Drosophila melanogaster: one gene and its partners. The protein of the gene in region 4 interacts with the protein of the main gene of each other region in a pairwise test. Each region holds a gene or a part of one and is shown on either strand. Other genes may lie near its edges.

What was found.
Region 1: the proteins of Sesn (region 4) and Flo1 interact in a two-hybrid assay, tested with the Drosophila melanogaster proteins (one large-scale study listed by BioGRID).
Region 2: the proteins of Sesn (region 4) and tna interact in a two-hybrid assay, tested with the Drosophila melanogaster proteins (one large-scale study listed by BioGRID).
Region 3: the proteins of Sesn (region 4) and l(2)k10201 interact in a two-hybrid assay, tested with the Drosophila melanogaster proteins (one large-scale study listed by BioGRID).

What each region holds. Positions count from the first base shown.
Region 1 is NT_033778.4:15,565,332-15,571,316, reverse strand, and holds Flo1 (flotillin 1), read left to right. Parts: upstream 1-1,912; 5' UTR 1,913-2,146; coding exon 2,147-2,198; exon of another isoform or gene 2,199-2,357; intron 2,358-2,490; coding exon 2,491-2,566; intron 2,567-2,810; coding exon 2,811-3,165; intron 3,166-3,476; coding exon 3,477-3,488; intron 3,489-3,603; coding exon 3,604-4,074; intron 4,075-4,144; coding exon 4,145-4,288; intron 4,289-4,349; coding exon 4,350-4,514; intron 4,515-4,725; coding exon 4,726-4,743; 3' UTR 4,744-5,046; downstream 5,047-5,985. Other genes in the region: Cdk5 (Cyclin-dependent kinase 5), read left to right, coding at 15-182, 247-434, 595-959, 1,022-1,185; CG30466 (uncharacterized protein), read right to left, coding at 1,779-1,802. UniProt on the Drosophila melanogaster protein: May act as a scaffolding protein within caveolar membranes, functionally participating in formation of caveolae or caveolae-like vesicles.
Region 2 is NT_037436.4:10,833,783-10,838,990, reverse strand, and holds the start of tna (tonalli), read right to left. Parts: upstream 3,464-5,208; coding exon 3,246-3,463; intron 1-3,245.
Region 3 is NT_033778.4:9,396,797-9,400,604, reverse strand, and holds l(2)k10201 (lethal (2) k10201), read right to left. Parts: upstream 1,526-3,808; 5' UTR 1,517-1,525; coding exon 851-1,516; 3' UTR 759-850; coding exon of another isoform or gene 737-758; 3' UTR 706-736; downstream 1-705. Other genes in the region: CG33774 (uncharacterized protein), read left to right, coding at 557-657, 737-758; Non1 (putative nucleolar protein 1), read left to right, coding at 1,974-2,021, 2,147-2,421, 2,491-3,808. UniProt on the Drosophila melanogaster protein: Vital for development.
Region 4 is NT_033778.4:23,711,485-23,716,992, forward strand, and holds the start of Sesn (sestrin), read left to right. Parts: upstream 1-2,415; 5' UTR 2,416-2,634; intron 2,635-3,181; exon of another isoform or gene 3,182-3,196; 5' UTR 3,197-3,415; intron 3,416-5,508. UniProt on the Drosophila melanogaster protein: Functions as a negative feedback regulator of mTOR function.

The DNA of each region.
Region 1 (5,985 bases), 8.1 Mb from region 4:
CAAAACACAGCAAAATGCAGAAGTACGATAAAATGGAGAAGATCGGGGAGGGCACCTACGGCACGGTGTTCAAGGGTCGCAACCGCGACACCATGGAAATAGTGGCCCTGAAACGGGTGCGACTGGACGAGGACGACGAGGGTGTGCCCAGTTCTGCCCTCCGGGAGATCTGCCTGCTGAAGGTCAGTCGGACGAGCAGGAAGTGATTCCAGTTTATAAACTAAATCGGCACATTACCATCCGTAGGAGCTGAAGCACAAGAACATTGTGCGCCTCATAGACGTCCTGCACTCGGACAAGAAACTCACCCTGGTCTTCGAGCACTGCGACCAGGACCTCAAGAAGTACTTTGACAGCCTCAACGGGGAGATCGACATGGCCGTCTGCAGGAGCTTTATGCTCCAACTGCTCCGCGGACTGGCATTCTGCCACAGGTATACCTATATATGTATCAGCACTGGATTAGGTCTTATCTTGTGTCGATTATAGTTAGAATCAAGTGTTATTTGGAGTAACTTCATCTGTGGCACATTTCCGAATGATATCCATTTTATAGCATTGAGACTTAACTTACGCTACATTATCCTATTTTAGCCATAATGTCCTGCATCGCGATCTGAAACCACAGAACCTGCTGATCAACAAAAACGGCGAGCTAAAGCTAGCTGACTTTGGTCTCGCTAGAGCCTTTGGCATTCCCGTGAAGTGCTACTCCGCAGAAGTGGTGACCCTGTGGTACCGACCACCCGATGTCCTATTTGGAGCCAAGCTCTATACGACCAGCATAGACATGTGGTCCGCTGGATGCATTTTGGCCGAACTGGCGGACGCTGGACGACCGCTGTTTCCTGGCTCTGACGTGCTCGATCAGCTGATGAAGATCTTCCGTGTGCTGGGCACCCCCAACGAGGACTCCTGGCCAGGAGTTTCGCACCTCTCCGACTACGTGGCGCTTCCATGTAGGGATTCTAGACGGATTTTATTTATCGATACCAATATTAAAAGCCTATTTATATTATAGCTTTTCCGGCCATCACCTCGTGGAGTCAGCTGGTACCTAGGCTAAACTCCAAGGGACGCGACCTGCTGCAAAAGCTGCTCATCTGCCGGCCAAATCAGCGAATTAGCGCGGAGGCGGCGATGCAGCATCCCTACTTTACGGACAGCAGCTCTTCGGGACATTGAGGTCGGAAGGTTCTTTCCAAGCCACTGTTTTCACGACCTTTGATTAGACTTAAGCCAAAATGCGAGACTTTGTCCAGCAAAGATCTTTTAATTATATATGTATGTCCTTGCAGTAGAGTTCGATTATAGTATAAGATAAAAAGTTCTTTATAATTTCATTAGTTTGATTTACCAAAGCAAAAGGTTTGATTTATGACAATCCCTACCAATGTGACACTTAATATAGCCATTTGAGCTGCCAAATTAACATTTATCGATAAAATACTTATTGATTCAGTAAAATAGTTTTATTCTTAAAAATTTTTATGTTGAGTGTATCGTTAAGATCCGAAAATTGTTCAAATTCCTAGACGATATCTACTGTTTGTGTGAATGTGGAAAAAATATTTGAAATCCTAGTTTCTGTTTTCAAAGACTAAAAACTAGGCAATACATCTGGTTTCCAAATTTAATGAGTGTCGACGATTTTCTTATTACATTTATTGTGTATTTTTAAGAATTTCGATCTTTCTGAATGATATGAGTCATTAAGTAAATTAGAATAAAAAAAATTGAGATGTAACCTAGATTTTTAAACCAATAAAGACACTTACCGCAGCACTACGTCGTCGCAGCATGATGAATATTTTGAAGTGGTCGCCTCAACCCCCGGCACTCAATAGGGGTTAAAGTCGTTCTGCGCACTCGCGAGTTAGAAATTGAGAACTTTACAGATTGAGAGATTTTTTTATTGTGCTACGAATTGCTAACCGAACCGGTCGGATTTCTGAATCTTAAGCACCGAGTACCTCGGAAATTCTTTTATATATATTATTAGACGAATAAACAAGGCTACCTGTGGATCGGATAATTCGCTATATAGTTAATAATCGGAAAACTGTGTTAACCGCGCAGATAAAACAAAAGCTGTTATCAGCAGCAACCCATTTTCTAATATAAATAACAAATAAGTGCTGCAGAAATGACTTGGGGATTTGTAACCTGCGGCCCCAACGAGGCTTTAGTTGTCTCTGGTAAATCACACGATCCTTATATGCTCAAAATAATGTCAAATCGATTAAATAAATAAGTCAGTGAATAAAAATGAAATTGTCACGCACACACACATATATATACACCCCACCCCAAGTGACGTCACTATCGATTTTTGTGTACCGCAAATGTTGTTGTTGGGATAACAGGGGAAGAAGCTGAATATGCGGCAGTCCGAAGCCATGCGTGCGCATTTGAACGGCGTTGCGGTGCTGTTATCCAAATGCTGCAATGTTTTGTAAACAAAGTGTTTTTTGTTTGTTTTCTGCGCAGGGTGCTGCTACATGAAGCCGCTTTTGGTGCCGGGAGGACGAGCATTCGTTTGGCCAGTGGGCCAGCAGGTTCAGCGGTGAGTTTTAACCGGCTTAGACCAGGGGTTCCAACGAAAAGCCACAGGTTAGGGAGGCGCTAAAAAGCGCGGGTATTCGAAATATTATTCGTAAGAATTCGGTTTTATTAAAATATATTAAATTATAATAAAATAATCTTATTTTATCAGATAATATTTAGTTAATATTTCTGGCTTCGTATCTGAGTCCCTAGTCTTAAGATAACAAGCCCTCAGATGTTAAATGTCCGCCAATCTTCCCCAGAATTTCGTTGAACACGATGACCCTCCAGGTAGAGAGTCCTTGCGTGTACACCAGCCAAGGAGTGCCCATCTCGGTGACAGGCATTGCACAGGTGAAGGTCCAGGGTCAGAACGAGGACATGCTGCTGACCGCCTGTGAGCAGTTCTTGGGCAAATCAGAGGCAGAGATCAACCACATCGCCTTGGTCACCCTGGAGGGGCATCAGCGTGCCATCATGGGTTCGATGACCGTGGAGGAGATCTACAAGGACCGCAAGAAGTTCAGCAAGCAGGTGTTTGAGGTGGCCTCCAGCGATTTGGCCAACATGGGAATAACCGTGGTTTCCTACACCATCAAGGATTTGCGCGATGAGGAGGTGCGTAGTTCCAACCGATTACTTTTTACCACTCTCCCCGCACAACTAACCCAATCATCAGCAGTGATGGGAATAGGTTCTGTATTTTATATATATATTAGTTTTGGTTTTGTATACTTGAACAAAAATTTATTTAGCAATTCTGCAGTGATTCTATATATATTCAAACTTATTTTCTATTTTAGATTTTCTTTTTTTTATTCGATTTTCCCATCACTGTGTACCGGCTTCAAAGCTCCCTTTTTTCAAATAACCTCTTGTATATATGTGAATATATATATTTCTTGCATGTCCACATGGATCCTCTGTAGGGCGACTCAAAGGTGCGTATGTCCGCCCAACCGCCTGTGCGTGGAATCGTTGGGACACGTCCATCAAATTCAGCTTCTTGTGTAACTATCGGGATACTAACTCCTCGCGTTCAATTTCCATTTTCAGGGCTACCTGAGGTCATTGGGTATGGCCCGCACGGCGGAGGTGAAGCGCGATGCCCGCATTGGCGAGGCTGAGGCCCGAGCGGAGGCCCACATTAAGGAGGCCATTGCCGAGGAGCAACGCATGGCCGCACGCTTCCTCAACGATACCGATATTGCCAAGGCCCAGCGCGACTTTGAGCTGAAGAAGGCAGCATACGATGTGGAAGTGCAGACCAAAAAGGCCGAGGCCGAGATGGCCTACGAGCTGCAAGCGGCCAAGACCAAGCAGCGCATCAAGGAGGAGCAGATGCAGGTGAAGGTGATCGAGCGCACGCAGGAGATTGCCGTCCAGGAGCAGGAGATCATGCGCCGCGAGCGAGAGCTGGAGGCCACCATCCGCCGACCGGCCGAGGCGGAGAAGTTCCGCATGGAGAAATTGGCCGAGGCCAACAAGCAGCGCGTGGTCATGGAAGCCGAGGCCGAGGCTGAATCGGTTAGATACCATCTAAATATTTGCTTATAGACTACGATTAACTGAAGCATCTCCATCTTCTTTGCAACAGATCAGGATTCGTGGTGAGGCTGAGGCCTTTGCCATTGCGGCCAAGGCTAAAGCAGAGGCCGAGCAGATGGCCATGAAGGCAGAGGCCTATCGTGAGTACCGTGAGGCTGCCATGGTGGAGATGCTCCTGGACACACTGCCAAAGGTTTGTCAATGGTTAGATTAAAAGAATCTATAATTTATTCTATGTTGAATCTAATTCGCAGGTTGCCGCCGAGGTGGCTGCTCCACTGTCACAGGCTAAGAAGATCACGATGGTGTCCAGCGGAACTGGCGATATCGGTGCTGCCAAGCTGACCGGCGAGGTTCTGTCGATCGTCAACAAAGTGCCAGAGCTGGTCAAGAACATAACCGGCGTGGACATTGCTCGGGTACGTTCCAATTCTGAATTTATCTAACTTCAGAGCTCGTCGAGGTGAATGAATGACGACGCAATCGAAACCAAAACAAATGGCAATCAAAAGACTTTGTAGACAGGAGGACGCTGCTTTCGTTTGCTACCTTCGTTTGATTTGAGCCTTGTTTTGCGATATAAATTCCCTGGTTTCGATTCACTTTACGTTTCCTTTCTCTTCATTTCAGTCTGTGCATGCTGGCTAAAAAAGTACCCAAAAGAAAACCAAAAACACACAAAATTATGTACTCTTCAAAACGAAAATAAGAAAACAAAAAAGAAATTACGCTATATTGAACGATCGAATACTTCAAAACTGAAATCGAACGCATTTAAATTTCTTTATAATTAATATATTATTGAATCTTTGTGCTAACCCGACAAATTTTGCAACATGTTTTACACACACACTCAGAGAGAGGAGCAAAAATATTTTGTATTACATGTATAATGTATTTATATAAGTGTATTGCACAAAGCGTGGAATAAATATTCTTCCTTGGATCAACAAATTGAGTTTATTTTAATGGGTCGGCAAATATAAAGGAAGTTGAAATTTTAAAATACCAAAGGTTTTGGCGGTTATTCCACATTGCCACACTTTTCAATTTCGCATATGCGCTGCCACCTTTTGATATAAATACGTTGGGCAACCAGCGTTGCCATGCCTTTTAATTAATCCATAAACGATACGTCTTCAGTTATTTTATAATGTTTTATTAATTTTAAATATATTATTATTAATGTATTAATCAGCCAATTGTTTCTGATGAAGCATTGAAGTTGGCTTCTCTCAGATAACTTCAGCTTTAGTGAAAGTTATGAAAAGGAATGGAATAAGAGAATTTGTAGGCATTTATATATAATAGCATTGTTATCACAAAATATATATTATATATTCAAGACGCAAAAAACAATCGATGCGATATAAGAAGTTGAATACATCGATAGTTTCGATAGGTTGATGTTGTACCATCACTAATAGCAGCTCTGTCCAGCTGTGCGGATAAAAAATCATAATCAGAATATCAGTATTATAACGCACATTACTCCCAAGAGTGTAATCTGAAAACCCACTTGAGTTAAGACAAATCCTAGAAAATAGAAAACCATAAATATTGTTTCCGCTCAACAAAACAAACACAAAGAAAACAATTGCGGCAGTGGGAAGGAAAAAAGTTCCGCCTTCAAAAGAGGAATCAAGTGGTAAAAACTGCATAAATAAGTCAAGCATAGCCGCAGAACTGTAGATAATATCACAATTAAGTGATGACCAGTAGACTTGTTGACTTTTTCAGACTTCATATCGCTGCCTGTGTTTATTGATTTTGTTTTTGGCCTGTTATCAACAACCTGCCGCCCACTCCCACCCTCCCCCTCTCCACACTCGACAAATGTATTCTTATTTACCCAACAAACAATTGGTTTTCAAAGCCACATATCTTATC
Region 2 (5,208 bases), on a different chromosome or scaffold from region 4:
TTTTCTGCGTTTTAACAGCATTGGTCGAGCTAGCGCCAAACGATTCTCGGAATAATTTTCCATTTTGCTGCTTCTTTGGTCTTTTGCTTTTTAATTGAGTACATACATACAAACGAAAGATGCAGACGAGGAAAAAAAAAAAACAACCAAAATTAAATTATGTGCAAAGAGGAACGAAATCTTTTTCGGTGACTTTTTCATTTGAATTTCGGAATGGAAGTCAGCGAAGCCATTATGAAATTATTTATTAAATGTTGTGAAATCACTCGATGCACATGGACCCATTTGGAACCTTGGAGTGTCGCTGTATCTGACTTCGTATCTGGGCTTTTTACACGCAAAAAAGTTTTTACTTGAAAATGTGATATAAAAATGTATAAAGATACAAATGTATCTTAGGCTCGTAATCACTGCTCTGGAAAGTCCTGTTCTACATTTTTGAGATTTTTGTAATTAAGAGATACATTTTTCTTTCTCTGCATTTGTATCTGTTTATGGGCAGCAGGGCAACGCTTGGATTCTAATTGTCGAAGTCGTCATTTGTCGTCGCTTTTTCATTGGCGTCATCCATTGCTGTCGTCGGGGTGTGAGATTTAAGTCGGTTTATCGACAGCATCGTCGCCGATTTTGGTTGCGTATTGTCGCCTATATGGCACCTCCCCCCCCCTATTTATGCTCCCCCCTGAAAGCCCCACCGATTGATCATCATCATCATCATTGTACGCTGCCTTTGTTTGTGCGGCTCGCGTATTTCTTCAATAAATTTTCAGTTTATTCGGTTTATTTATTTACTTATATTTGCTATTGCTCTTTAGCTCGTATCCACCGCCCCACTTCAGTTCACAATTCCCTTTCCATTTTGGCTTCTTCGCTTTTCGCTTTGTTTTCTCGCAGCCTTATGATTATTTTTCTCAGTTTCCACCTCCGAAGAGCCCCATTCCCTCCAAATCTTCGCCCTCCATCGTCTCCGTCGCTCGCGTAATTGAATTTCAACTTGTTTGCATTGTCGACGATGATGATAATTCGTCGGGGTATTTTGCGTATTGAGATCAGGGCCTCATCAATTAGTAAATTAATTTTATGCTCGCCGCTTTATGGAAATAAAGTTTTGCAGCATCCGAGCCGAGGAAAGTGGAAAATCAGAGGGATGAGCACAGGAAGCAAGCTTAAGATTGAAAATCTTGTTTGTTTACTCAGTTAGAAAATCGCCTGGAATTCTTGAGATATTCATCCCGAAGGCCGTCGTAAAAATCCTTAATCAATTTATGGCTCTTTTGTGTTCTGAACAATTTAATTAAGTTCTTTAAGGCACTGCAAACTACTTTGTTGTATACAAATGAACAAATATTAACCTTTTACTGCTAACGAAACTAAACAAATATAAAAAATGTTAGTCTTGAACTGAGCAATATTATTATAAATTTTAAATATAATTACTATGCAATACTGCAGCTCTTCAAATAACAAATGTATTTTAACTTAACTACCACTTCCCGCACATTTTTCAACTAGTTAACTTTTATTTGTCCCATTTTACAGAATGAAATGTCAGTAAATATTTTTGTAATTATTCGATTTATTTTTTGCGCCATTTGACGTACCAAAATTTCAATTATAATCAGCTTTGGCTTTATTTAAATATGGCACACATTTACCAACCAACCACCACTCCCACTTTTAGCTCATTATTTATTTTCTACTGTCCGTTTCCCACGGAAAGTTGCAATTATCATATTTGACTTTTCCGCATAAATTCTGTGAATTATCTCACCGCAACTATTTTTATTTGTTTTAATTATTATTATAGTAGTTTTAGCAAATGTATTTTGTTGCCATTTTATTTTTTGTGTTTCACAAAATATTACAGAACTCGAACGGAATGTTTGTGCCATTGATTCGTATTTGCGGTTGGCAAACCGAAACGAAATGTGCAACAAATTATTTCTGATATTATTATTTATTTATAGAAAAAGCTGAAAATAGAAAAAAAGTCATCAGCAAAATATGATATGTGACAATTCAATCACAAATCGAGATAGGAACCCTCTCTCAATTTTATATATTTTTTTGTTGTGTTGATCCCAAATGCAAAAATTGCCCGTTAAAATGCAATCTTCATTATTTAATTTATTTGAATTTTTGCTGGCAATAAATATTCATTTCTGACCGTAGTGGGTGTTGGCCTCTGTAGATATGGGAAAATTGTATGCAAATACAATTAAATGTTTTCATATGCATTTTGTGTGCTCCTCGATTTGATTGCTGCCAAGGGATATGTCTTGTTCAAACGGTTTACGTGGCGTATACTTGATATTATGTATTTTCTATGAATGTGCAATTTTTATTTATTATGCCAAGCAATTGAGAAAGAAAGAAAGATTAATCAAGAGCTTTGAAGAATATGTTATATATATATATATTGGGTTTGAATACTTTCCGCTCGAGCCCATTGAATATTTAAACATTACAATTGCTGTGGTGATTTCTGGCCATTTTAATCTGCTGCTAAGTCCCACTTTTGTCCGGTCAATGTGTAAATCAATAATGCATTAAAAACTTATTAGAACAAACAAGGATTCATTAGGCGCAATCTGTGTTCGTCCGTTTCGCAGTTGTTATTTATATCGATATAACAAGGTAATAACTGCACACTTAAGTATGCAAATAGCCTGGCCCGCACCTTCGTCCTTGTATGCCTGTGTGTGCGTGCGTCTGTGTTTGCACATGCAAATGTTATCATTTGTGATTAGTTACAGTCCTGAAATGCTAATGCCCCTTGACAAGCAACAGCAACAACCGCAAGACAACTCACTTTCGGGTTAACTGGAATGCCAGCCAGTGTATGTCTGTGTATGTCTGTACATCTGTGTGCCTTTGATCCTTATGAATAGTCAGCCAGCCGGAGGACGAGCCGAATTTGCCCCGGCTGGCATTGTGCTTCGCTCTGAATTATTTACACAAATCCAACTGCAATCGTTTGTCAATTTGCCAATTGACAGTGAACATAATTGATGGTGATTAAGGGTGAACGTAGTAGGTAAAGAAGGTGGGATTGCTTTATGAAGTCATTCGCTTGGCAAAAGATTGTTATGTTGTAGTGTGAGGCCATAGATTTGGTAAATTATTGTCGTACCGTTACTATTGTAAGTCTCAAAACTGAAAGACTTATCTTAACACTGTAATTATAAATACTAATTCGATATCTATGATATATATATAGTCTATTATATCTAAGGATAACATACTTCCCTCCGTTGAGTGCATCCTGCAACTGCTTCAAGCATCGATCGATTTTTCTTTCCCTCACTTGTGAGCCATATTTGGATGACGAATAGGGATCGAACAGGAATGGAAAATAGGGATGTGGGTCAAACGTTAAAACGGAAGTCGAATCATCTTTGGTGATTTCCTCCTTGACTTTCTCCTTTCTGGACTCCTTCACTTGTTCCACCTTTTCACTCATTTCGCCACTTGCCAATCTGCGTTACGTATACGCCACGTTGAACAAACCACGTCTAATCGAACCGAGATTTTTTTACCGCACTTCCAAACGCATCGAACTCTCTTTGGCAACTGCCGTCTAGTTCTTTGTCCAACTTCCTCTGCGATTAATTTTTATTAGTAGTGCCTCCAGTGCCTGGCAGTAGTTATTACAGTTGGCCAGCGCACATCTTAGCCATAGGTGGACTAATCACCAGCGCCATCAGCTGCAGTCTTACAGCAACGGCTGGCACTCGATTGCCTTCACCACCCATTCTGAAGGCCACGCGAAGCTTTTTGCATATTGCGTATACGTCATGTGCGTCCGGGATCGAGTTTCATTTCACGGTAATATATGAAAAATTCCTGGTAATGCAATGCGATCCCCAAACTGATTGCTTTAATGGTTTGTTGACTCAGTTAGCTGGCGAATAACAGCAGCTACTGTCAGCGTATTTCTATAAACTCTTAAAGTCGGGTTTTAAGTACATTAGACCTTGTGCTGTGATCCTCATATGAGTGGAATATTCCTACTGTGCGATTTATTGAGAGTGCTGAAAATATACTTTTCGAAAAATTTTCAATAAAAATATTGCAATCTGCTATTACTGCGAAATATCTTCTTAATTCATATCAATGAATGTATTTCATCAATGTAAATTCCCATTTGTATGGGATATACTTAGAAAATTATAGACCATCTCTATGAAAATTCTTTGCAACACAATAGTAACTCAATTCATTCAAATAATAAGGGAATTTTTAAACTCGTCGAGTTTTCTAAATGATCTAGTTTTATTAAAAGAGTAATATAAGTATATACCTTAACTTTCCGCTTTCTTCGCAATACACTTTGGGGTAATTCCTCAAATATTTTCGTCGTTCGTCGGTCTAGCTGGGAAAATTGAGAAGTGAGAGGTGGAAAAAGTGACCTCATTTGGCATAGGACCTCATTTCCTAACGCCCAACGAACCGCTATTTTTTGTTGTACGTCGCAGTTAAGTGTCCTTTCGCATTTCGTTTGCTTGGTGTTTGTCCTGTTTTGTGGGCGGTTGATTTGCTCCTTGGCTCCTCCCGCATCCTGTTCGTCCTGCCCTTGTTTTGCTTTCGGCTTGGTGCCCATGTAACTTGCTGGAAAATTAATAATAATAAAAAAACACCTACCACGGGGTGGGAGTACACGCGTGACCCTATTAAATGTGTGCTAATAAAAGCTTGGCAGCTCCGAAAAAAAATCCAAGGAAAATAAGGGAAACACGCAGGGGCAAGAGCGCAGATAGCTGACCAAGTGCGTAATGTTGGACAGAATATTTCTATGCCCAAGTGGTGAAGAAGTCTTGCTTACAAATTTCTGAAGTGTACAATGGACGATGAAATTACTTAAAAATTCACGAAGAAATGCGAAAGATGACGATGATGATGGGGTGGGGAAAACAAAATCAACGCTCACAAAAGCGGAAACATTTAACGGGGGCGGTGGTGGGTTGATGGTGTTTCTATTTACGCTAAAGGTCAACTTTTTCCATTTGCAGCTTGGTCATTTATAAAATCTTTCGGTATTATTAAGCAAAGCGAGGAAAACCAACTAAGAGGATGAAGTGGTGGAAAGGACTAAGGAAGTACATAAAGAAAACCCAAGGAGGACCAAAGCCGAGTTCTGTTGTGTCCGCGATTTATCAAATTAATGAGTATCATTTTATTTTCATTTCATTTTCTATGCGCCAGCAC
Region 3 (3,808 bases), about 14 Mb from region 4:
AGAATTTACAATTGTTCGCTGAATATTTTTATGAAAATAAAATAGAATTAAGAATATGGTTTTGTTATTTGTAGTAAAAAGGTGATAACGAGTTTTGGATTTCAAATGTTATGGAGTTATTGAAATAAAAATAAAATATGGTGGAAACCTTTTACTTTTTATAAATGACGTTCATTTTGAAATTGAAAAAAAAGAAAAGAAAACGATTTTTTTTTTAAATATCCGGTTTGGTATATCTGGTATTATTTATGGTTCGCGAGGTATATCGGTATATTTTAGTGGTCGATCTACGGTCACGCTGAAATATTTGTACACAATAAAAACCGGCTCGTTTTTTCGCTGAAAAAGGTAATAAACTAAAGTTAATGAACGCAAACGAAACAATCGGTGAAGTTAATCGACAAATGAGATGCATAATCCCGCGTTGCATTTTGGTGGATACAGAAATAGGCCAGAAATCGCGATTTCCACACCGCACCCATGACGTGTCACTCGCCCACTTCGTTTCTAATCAATTAGTTTGTTTTTATCCATAGAACGTGTTACTGTCTGCAAAATGATCACCGACGTGCAATTGGCCATTTTCTCCAACGTTCTGGGCGTATTTCTGTTCCTGCTGGTGGTTGCCTATCATTATATTAATGCCAATACCGGAAAGTAAGTAATCCCACTTGGTGAAGAAGAGGAAGAAGACAGCCCGGAATCAACAATAAAACCGATTTTCATTTATTTACAGGCCCAGTGCCAAGGCAAAATGATGTAGGATGTTTCCGCTAACAGACTAATATAGTTCTACCAGGATAATGATAATGCTGCTTCATTCGCAAAATAAATATGTAGTTGTACAAATCTAATCCAGGATGTCGTTAATGGCCTCCTTCATGGCCTGGACATCGTCCAGTGTTTTGCCAGATCTCTGATCTTTGCCTGTGTAGAAACTCCTCTGCGTTTGATGTCCAAAGCTGAAGGCCTTGACGTAGGGCAAACTTTTAGTTTCCTCTATCACCTCGTCCACCTCCATGGAATTGGGTTTGCTTTTGCCTTGATGCTTCTGTTTGCCCCTATTCTTGCTATGATCAAAGCGATAGTTTGCCGGAAGCTTGTGCGTTATGATGCAGTGATCCTTGCGCTGCCGGGCAGTATGAAACTTGATGGTGCACTCTTCCAGAAAGCAGGAAAACATGGGCTTGTCACCGCGCTCCACGCTGGCGGCAAAATAGCAATCGTGCTGTTCGGTGATGTGCAGATCCAGTAGATGGGCAGTGGGCAGCATTTTTCGGCATTCTACGCAGCTGTAGCTCTGCTCCTTATCTATGTTGTCCCTGATCCTAGCTGCCGCCGCATCCTGCTCGCCCAAGATGTCATCGATGTCCACGAGAACGCCGAGTTTCTTGAAGGGCGCCAAACTGGGTGCAGGCGGATCCGTGGGCTTTATGAATCCCGCTGGCACTTCGCTTAGTATCCTGATGATTTGCTCTCTGGAGAGAAGTGCTACTCCCGCAGCTTCCGAATCCATTTTGTTTGTGTTGCCAAAATGTTTTGTTTTGGTTCCTACGCCAGTTTCAACATGTTTCCACTGTACTGCCTCTTGGAAGATGTGATTTTGTTTAATTTATATAAAAATTAAAAATAATTTCCTTTTGAATTGAAATAGTAATACAATTTTTGAAGTGCATACGTAAAATAGACATAATTAATGAATTGAAATACTCGCTCATATTTTAGATGGATATATTTCTATATTAAACAACTGCAATTAAGTTGAAACATCTTAAATGCCTTTGAAATGATGCCACATCGCCAGACTTAGTTACGCGGGCTGGCATCGCCGTGCAGCACATGTGAACCTAAACTGGTTCCGCCCGAGAACCGGTTCTTTTTGGAATACGAAGCTGACACCGCGTGGTGTTTTTGCTTTCGATTCCGCATTTATTTTCCTTTCGACGCGTGGAAAATAAACAAATCCTGCCAAGATGAGTCTGTACAACTTCAAAAAGATCATGGTGGTTCCGCCAGCAAAGGTAAGGTGTACCCAGCAGCGCCCGTCCCGCGGAGCACCCCTTGAAGCAAAGACATAACCTCACTGGAGGTGTTTACCAATATGCGCAATATGTAAATAATATTTTATTTTTTGCCCTTTCCACAGGACTTCATCGACATTATGCTGTCGAAGACACAGCGCAAGACCCCGACGGTGGTCCACAAGGGCTACAAAATATCCAGAATCCGGGCATTCTACACGCGCAAGGTGAAGTACACGCAGCAGAACTTCCACGATCGCTTGTCGCAGATCATTCAGGACTTTCCCAAACTGGACGACGTGCATCCTTTCTACGCCGACTTGATGAACGTGCTGTACGACAAGGATCATTACAAGCTGGCGCTGGGTCAACTCAACACAGCCAGGCATTTGGTGGACAAGTGAGTGCCAAAGTCACAGATCCCCAAACGAACAAGGTTCGATTAACTATTCTATTTTTTATCCCGCAGTGTGGCCAAGGACTACGTGCGCCTGCTGAAGTACGGTGACTCGCTGTATCGCTGCAAACAGTTGAAGAAAGCTGCCCTGGGTCGCATGGCCACCATTATGAAGCGACAGGCCTCCAATCTGACGTATCTGGAGCAAGTGCGTCAGCATCTCTCGCGTCTGCCCACCATCGATCCCTATTCGCGTACCATCATCATCTGCGGTTTCCCCAACGTGGGCAAGTCCTCGTTCATCAACAAGATCACCCGCGCCGATGTGGAAGTGCAGCCCTACGCCTTCACCACGAAATCCCTGTACGTGGGACACACAGACTACAAATATCTGCGCTGGCAGGTCATTGACACACCCGGCATCCTGGATCATCCCCTGGAAGAGCGCAATGTGATCGAAATGCAAGCCATTACTGCCTTGGCTCATTTGCGCGCCTGCGTCCTGTACTTCATGGATATCTCCGAGCAGTGCGGACACTCCTTGGAGGAACAGGTCAAGCTGTTCGAGAGCATCAAGCCTTTGTTTACAAACAAACCCCTCATCCTGGCCATCAACAAGATCGATATTCTAACACCAGAGGATCTGCCAGAGGAGCGACGAGCGATTATCACCAAACTACAGGAGGACAAGAACATTCCCGTAATGCTCATGTCCACCGTACAGGAAACCGGTGTCATGGAGGTGAAAACCGAGGCATGTGAGCGTTTGCTCTCGTACCGTGTTGACCAGAAGATGCGCACAAAGAAGGTGGACAACATCCTGAACCGCTTGCATGTGGCGATGCCAGCGCCGCGAGATGACAAACTTCGTGCACCCTGCATCCCAGAAAAGGCCTCGGCGCGCCTGCTACAGAATGCCGACAAGGCAGAGCGCAAGCGCAAGCTGGAGAAGGAGATCGAGGAGGAGATGGGCGACGACTACACGCTGGACCTCAAGAAGAACTACAGCGAAATCCCCGAGGAGGAGCGCTACGACATTATTCCAGAGTTCTGGCAGGGTCACAACATTGCCGACTACATCGATGCCGACATCTTCGACAAGCTGGAGGAGCTGGAGCGCGAGGAGGGACTGCGGGAGGAGAGCGGCGTCTACAAGGTGCCCGATATGACCATGGACGAGACGCTCAAGGAGATCCGCGAGATAGCCAAGCAAATCCGTGGCAAGCGCTTCGAGCTGCGCGACGAAAAGCGACTGTCGTCGCGAAAGAACAAGCCAGTCATCCCACGAAACAAGCAGCCCAAGGTGCGTGACCGTTCCGTACAGAAACTGGTGTCGACGATGGAGGGCCTCGGTGTGGACATGTCCGGCAGCGAGAACGCCAACTTCACC
Region 4 (5,508 bases):
TCTGTACTCTGATAATCCTTTGTTTCCCCTTTTTTTTAGCAAAAATGTTGAAGTGTGTCCCTTGATAGCAAAACTAATTATGTATGCCAGCATTAATTAAGCTTATATGCTTGAATACATCATTTCGCTGGAGAAAGAACATGCTCGAGAGAGTAATTCAAATTAAATATAAAATAATTTAAAAGGTTTATACAATTGTAAATAATAAAACATACTGATAGTCGTGCGTAATGTGGCAAGTCATGCATATTGACTAATTTAAGTGATCTGTGCTTTTTTCTTGGGGCCCGTACCAAAATAAGTTTAAGCATATGTTTTCATGTTTGTCGCCCCATATTTGTGGGTCAATCGCGTCCGAAGAGTTGGCTATCTCCGCATGAACTATAGAACTAAATCGGTCACTCCTTATCGGTCGCGTCGCCTTAGTCGACAGATGTACCCATGTGTGTAGACAAACCAACATACGTACAGCCTCAGCTACTTTCTGTGCGAGTGAGACAATTGTTTATTAATCAATAATAACAATAATCTACGCCACGCACACCGACACAACGTGTGTATTTCGGTATCGGCGCTGTTATCACTATCAGCCCGCTGCTGCTGTGGCTCCCATTGCTGATAAGCGACTTCCCCCACTCCGCCGCTGTAATGCAAATCAACAGCATTCGGCCTATGATAGTGATAGTGGCGAGCGGCGAGCAGTACTTTGCACTCGAGTGCTTATTAATTTCTCTTGCCAGCAGCGCACTCATTGCCTTTGCATTTTATTGTCTCACGATCTGGCTATAAAATGAAAATGGGGACGGGTACTTTATTTATCGCCGCCACTTATTGCAGTTCGTATGATACTCGCTCTATGGGCGGAAGAAACGGAGGCGGGGCAGTTCAGAGGCTCTCGAGCCGGAAAAAGTCTCTGTAGGGTAAACAAGGCGGGTTCCATGGCTCTGCGAAGTCTTTCTGCCGAGCTTCAGGTACAGTGGAGGTTCTACTGTGTGAAAGTGTAGTTAATACCTAAGTTCGTAAAGTTGCTAGTGCCATTTTTGCTTGCAAAGCATGCTTTGTTGAAAACCATTTGATATCTTGCTAGAAGCTTTCAGTTTAGTGACTCTACATCCCTACATGCTGGCAGTTTCGAACAGTTTTGAGCTGTATTCCAGTGAGGATTAATCCCATTTGAGTTCGAAACTATCGCCTCTTGTGCTGATTATTGTGGACAGAGATATTGGATCACGACACAGAGGGCTGACTGTGGCCTCTTTGCTTTTGCTTTGAGCTTTGAACGCCCGCAAATGCTGACTATTTTGTTGGGCCCTAGCATGGTGATAGAATGTGGGAGGGGGAAAGGGGCGTGGCAAAGGGGGAGTAGGTTGGAGATAGGAGGGCTAGCGACTAAAAAGTGTTGATAACCGGGCACACATTTGCATCCACAAACACTGCGACGCACACACGCACACCCTGCTTTCTAGGCCTCTGCCATTTAAGTTCAATCATTTGGAGCGTCGTCGCTGCGTTGTCATTGTTGTTATTGTTGTTATTGTTGCTATTGTTGCTATTATTGTTATTGCTGCTGCTGTTTGTGTTGCTGTCGCTCCATGTGCTCCTCACATATGTTGAACTAAAAAGAATTGGAGGAGCAGAGAGGCAGGGCGAAGAAAAGAACTGTACATTTGTACGGGGTGTATTGGTTTAGTTGGGTACCCTACGCTACAGAAGAAAGTAGAAGGTTGAGAAGGAATATGTCTCCTACTTTTCGTGCGTTAGCACGCTTTTGTAACAAGTTTCAATAAATAGATTATAGAAACTATAAAAAGCAACAATTCGGATATGACAGTCTCTATATCTTGTTTTGTGTAGCGTATTCGGCATGCAGCTTAGCTCTCACCCTTGGCAACGGCAACAAAGTAGGTGCAACAAAGAGTCATAGCGACCGTCTCTCCTGCGCCTACAGAGCAACTCTCCCCACCCCCAGCCCCTCAGGAAAATGGTCAGACTGCTTCTGCCTCTGCCTGTTGCTGCTTTGCCTGCTCTTTCTGTCCCACACACTTGCTCTCTCGCTCGTTGCTCGTAATAAGCTTACACAGAAAACAAATAATTGAAATCTAAAGAAGTTCTCCTTTAAATTATTAAACGCAAAGGTATAATTAGATACAATGAAAATAAGTTTCTTGCATGCAGATCCTTTTAAGCTACGAAATCGCTGTTAAAGGCCATATAACTAGCATTGCATTAGTTGGTGATTTAAGTGCTTGACTTTTCGCGCAGTGTGGCGCACTCTCTTCGGCTCTCCGCCCCCGTCAGCTGTTGTTGTTGCACTGTGGGGCTTTGGGGCTGCGATACCAGCTGTTTCGTTTCGTATCGTTTCGTTGCGATTCGTTTCATTTCGTTTCGCCGCGATTCGATTCGAGTCGAGCTGCTTCAGTTGAAGTTTGTCGCTGGCCGCGTTCAGTTGTCCGGCTAGAAAAGCGGAAGACCGGGAAATCCAGACGCGCTACAGACGCCCGATATCTGCTCCCACTCTCAGCGCAAGATCGCGGGAAATCAGGAAGCTCCGAAAACATCGGATAACCGTTTTTATTTTTATTCCCCTTTGGTTCGTTCTCGCCTCCGTTTCTTCTGTTGCTTCTGTTACTTCTGGTAATTTCCATTTCCCTCGGGGGGATACGCGCTCAAACGCAACTGCAGGCGGCGCAAAACAAGAAATGTAGATAGCGCCAAAAATTAAAAAAATAAGAAAAATAGAGAAAAATAAAAAAGCGAAAATCATTGTTATTGCATGGAAAATTACTACAGAAATCTCCTGCAAAGCAGCCCAGTCAGAGTGGCACTAAAGCAAACCAAACCAAATCAAACCCAAAACTGAGACAACAACAAGGCGGCGGAGCATAAATTAGATTGGCCTCATAGTCGAATAATAACGAGCTCGAGCCGCGTAAACAAATTAAACGATGCTGACCGCCGTTGTTGTTCAAATTTAAATATAAACTATTATTGTTATCTCTGCGCTTGCCGTTGTCTATTTTCGCGCCAAATGCAATCGGTTCTTCGGTTTTTTCGGGGTATTAGGGGAGAGGGCATTACATAATTAGTGAGCGCGTAAATTAAATTATAAACGAAAACGGACGAAAATCGAGTACCAACTTTCTTCGTTTCCTCTGATCAAAACAATACATTTTATCCACAGTTTTCGTGTCTTAAGTTTCGGAGCCCTTCGCCGATTTCCAGCAATTAGTTACTACATCATATATGTTCTGTGTTATCAAAAACGCGAGCGAAAGAAGCGCTCTATCTGCGATTGTAAAGACAAACACCACAAGAAAGTAGCTGTGTGCCCCTCGGGCAAATGAACCGAAATTAAAGGAGATTACAAACATCGCTATCAAGCAAATGTAGAGACTGTTAGTCCGGCGAACAAAGGGTAAGTAAGAAAGGTTCCATCTATACAGTACTCCAGTTTTCCCCAATACATTTGCAAATGTCCTTTGAGGCCAGGACTGTTACTAAGAGGCTTTTCCGATGAAATGGAATGTTCCTTAGGGATTGTCGTAATGGAAAAAAACCCAAGGCACTGCAAGAAACAAAATGCACTTTAGAATTGGTTAAAATATATCCTTAAGCTGGTATTCCCCTAACATAGGTTGCCACTCGCATTTATCTGCAGTGCCCCACTTAATGTCTTCATACATAAATAACTGGCTATTTTTGAATATTTGAATTCTCTATTGAATCTATAGAGAAACCATTCCCTTCCCCAGTGCACAACTCTCGACTGGAGTAGAAGCTCATGCTATTGGGTTTGCAGCATCGCTTCCCACAAAATCCTCACAAATCTTTGGCAGATTGCACATGTGAAACCTGCGGTTGTTGGCCAATTCCGGCTGTTTTCCCATTTTTTGGCCAGTGCCAGGGACTTTGCGGATTGACGGGCTGTCAAGTCAGCGCAACAGGTTCCTGGGCCAAGATGCGTATACAGAAAACAGAATCGAATGGAAGACACACTGATTCAATTCGTTCAGTATTGGATTTGCTGCTGCCACACAACTTCAAGTTGAGGAAATTGGCACTTGACCTACCGCACGGGAATCTAAATTAGGCGGCGTGTTCGCTTGCCGAGCGTTTCGCCCTCTCTTTCCGCCCCACTGCGAAGGCGAAGCCTCGCACGCGGTTTTTGGTAAACTGCTGAGGGCATTTGTTCACTTTGCTGGCTGCGTTTGTTTACGGTTTCCATTACCCGCTTCTCGCGGCTTCAGCTTTTTCCAGTTCTATTTCGAGTTGGCCATCCACTAATTAGGCAGCTTGTCGGGCAGCATTCGAGTTAAATGTTCGGCACTGCAAATGACATGGTCCTTGCGGCCATACACACGATACTATCCATTGTTACACTCGTACAATACATGCGGTGAAACAATCAAGTACGCCGACATGGGCGTAATTCGCAGACAAACAAGAAGAACGAAAACGAACTGAGCCTGCGAATTAAGGCCCCTGCTCGGCAATGAATTCTCTTCGCCATGCCAGGCCATCGGCCATCCCGGCGTATACGTAATGCTACGGGCCGAAAAGAATTGAGGAATGGCTGGCAGTTAATGCCAATTATGATAAACGGTTGCTATGTAGCCGTCGCACACAGATACTCTACACACTGGCGCGCGCCACACAGATACTCACGCAGATACAGATACTCATGCACTCGCACTCGCACAACTGTTGCTCGCGATGTTGTTGATGTCTTTTAGTTGTTGCCAGGCGCATTAAGATTGCCGCTTGTGCTTGTGTGTGTGTTTATGTGTGTTGAGTGATTGGGTGTACGAGTGTGTGATGGGAAATCACTTGAACCATCGGCTGAGAGGGCAATTGATATGTGCTTCCATCAATGTTGCAATCAGTTAAGCGGCTTTCGAGCGCCAGAAACAACTGAATCGGTCTGTAAACTCAATCGAATTCGTCCTTTTGCGACAAAAACAACAGTCATGGTCCTTCCAATGACCTGCGGCCACTACCATTATTAATTCGATCAGCTGTACGCTTCGCAGATTCCAGTAATTCGATAAAAGTTTATTTAAGCACTTATTTGAACAGATTCAAATAAGTAAATTGAAAGTTTAGTACATTATTTCATGTTTAATGCGGATAGTTTAAAAGTTGTGTTGTTTGTTGTATCCGCGAATGCTGCTTTAATCATAGTCATTTCTATGGGCGCAAGACGAGGTGACTGAACTCGCAACAGCAACTGCAGCAGCCACTACAACTGCAGCAAGTGCAGCAGCAACACAATTGCAACTGCAGTCTGTTAAGCTTGCTTGCCGTTAATTTGTGCAATCTTCTACTTTTACCTACTTATTACAAGTAGTCACAAACAAAACTGAGTATTTTCCATGCCGTTTTCCCATGCTTCAGATTCAAGGGTATTTACGCATGTTCTTCAGCTAACTGCAAGCATAATCCAAGTGGGAAACTTTCTGACTTACCCATAATTGTAAAGACTTAATTAAAAGAGTTTCAATAACTAAT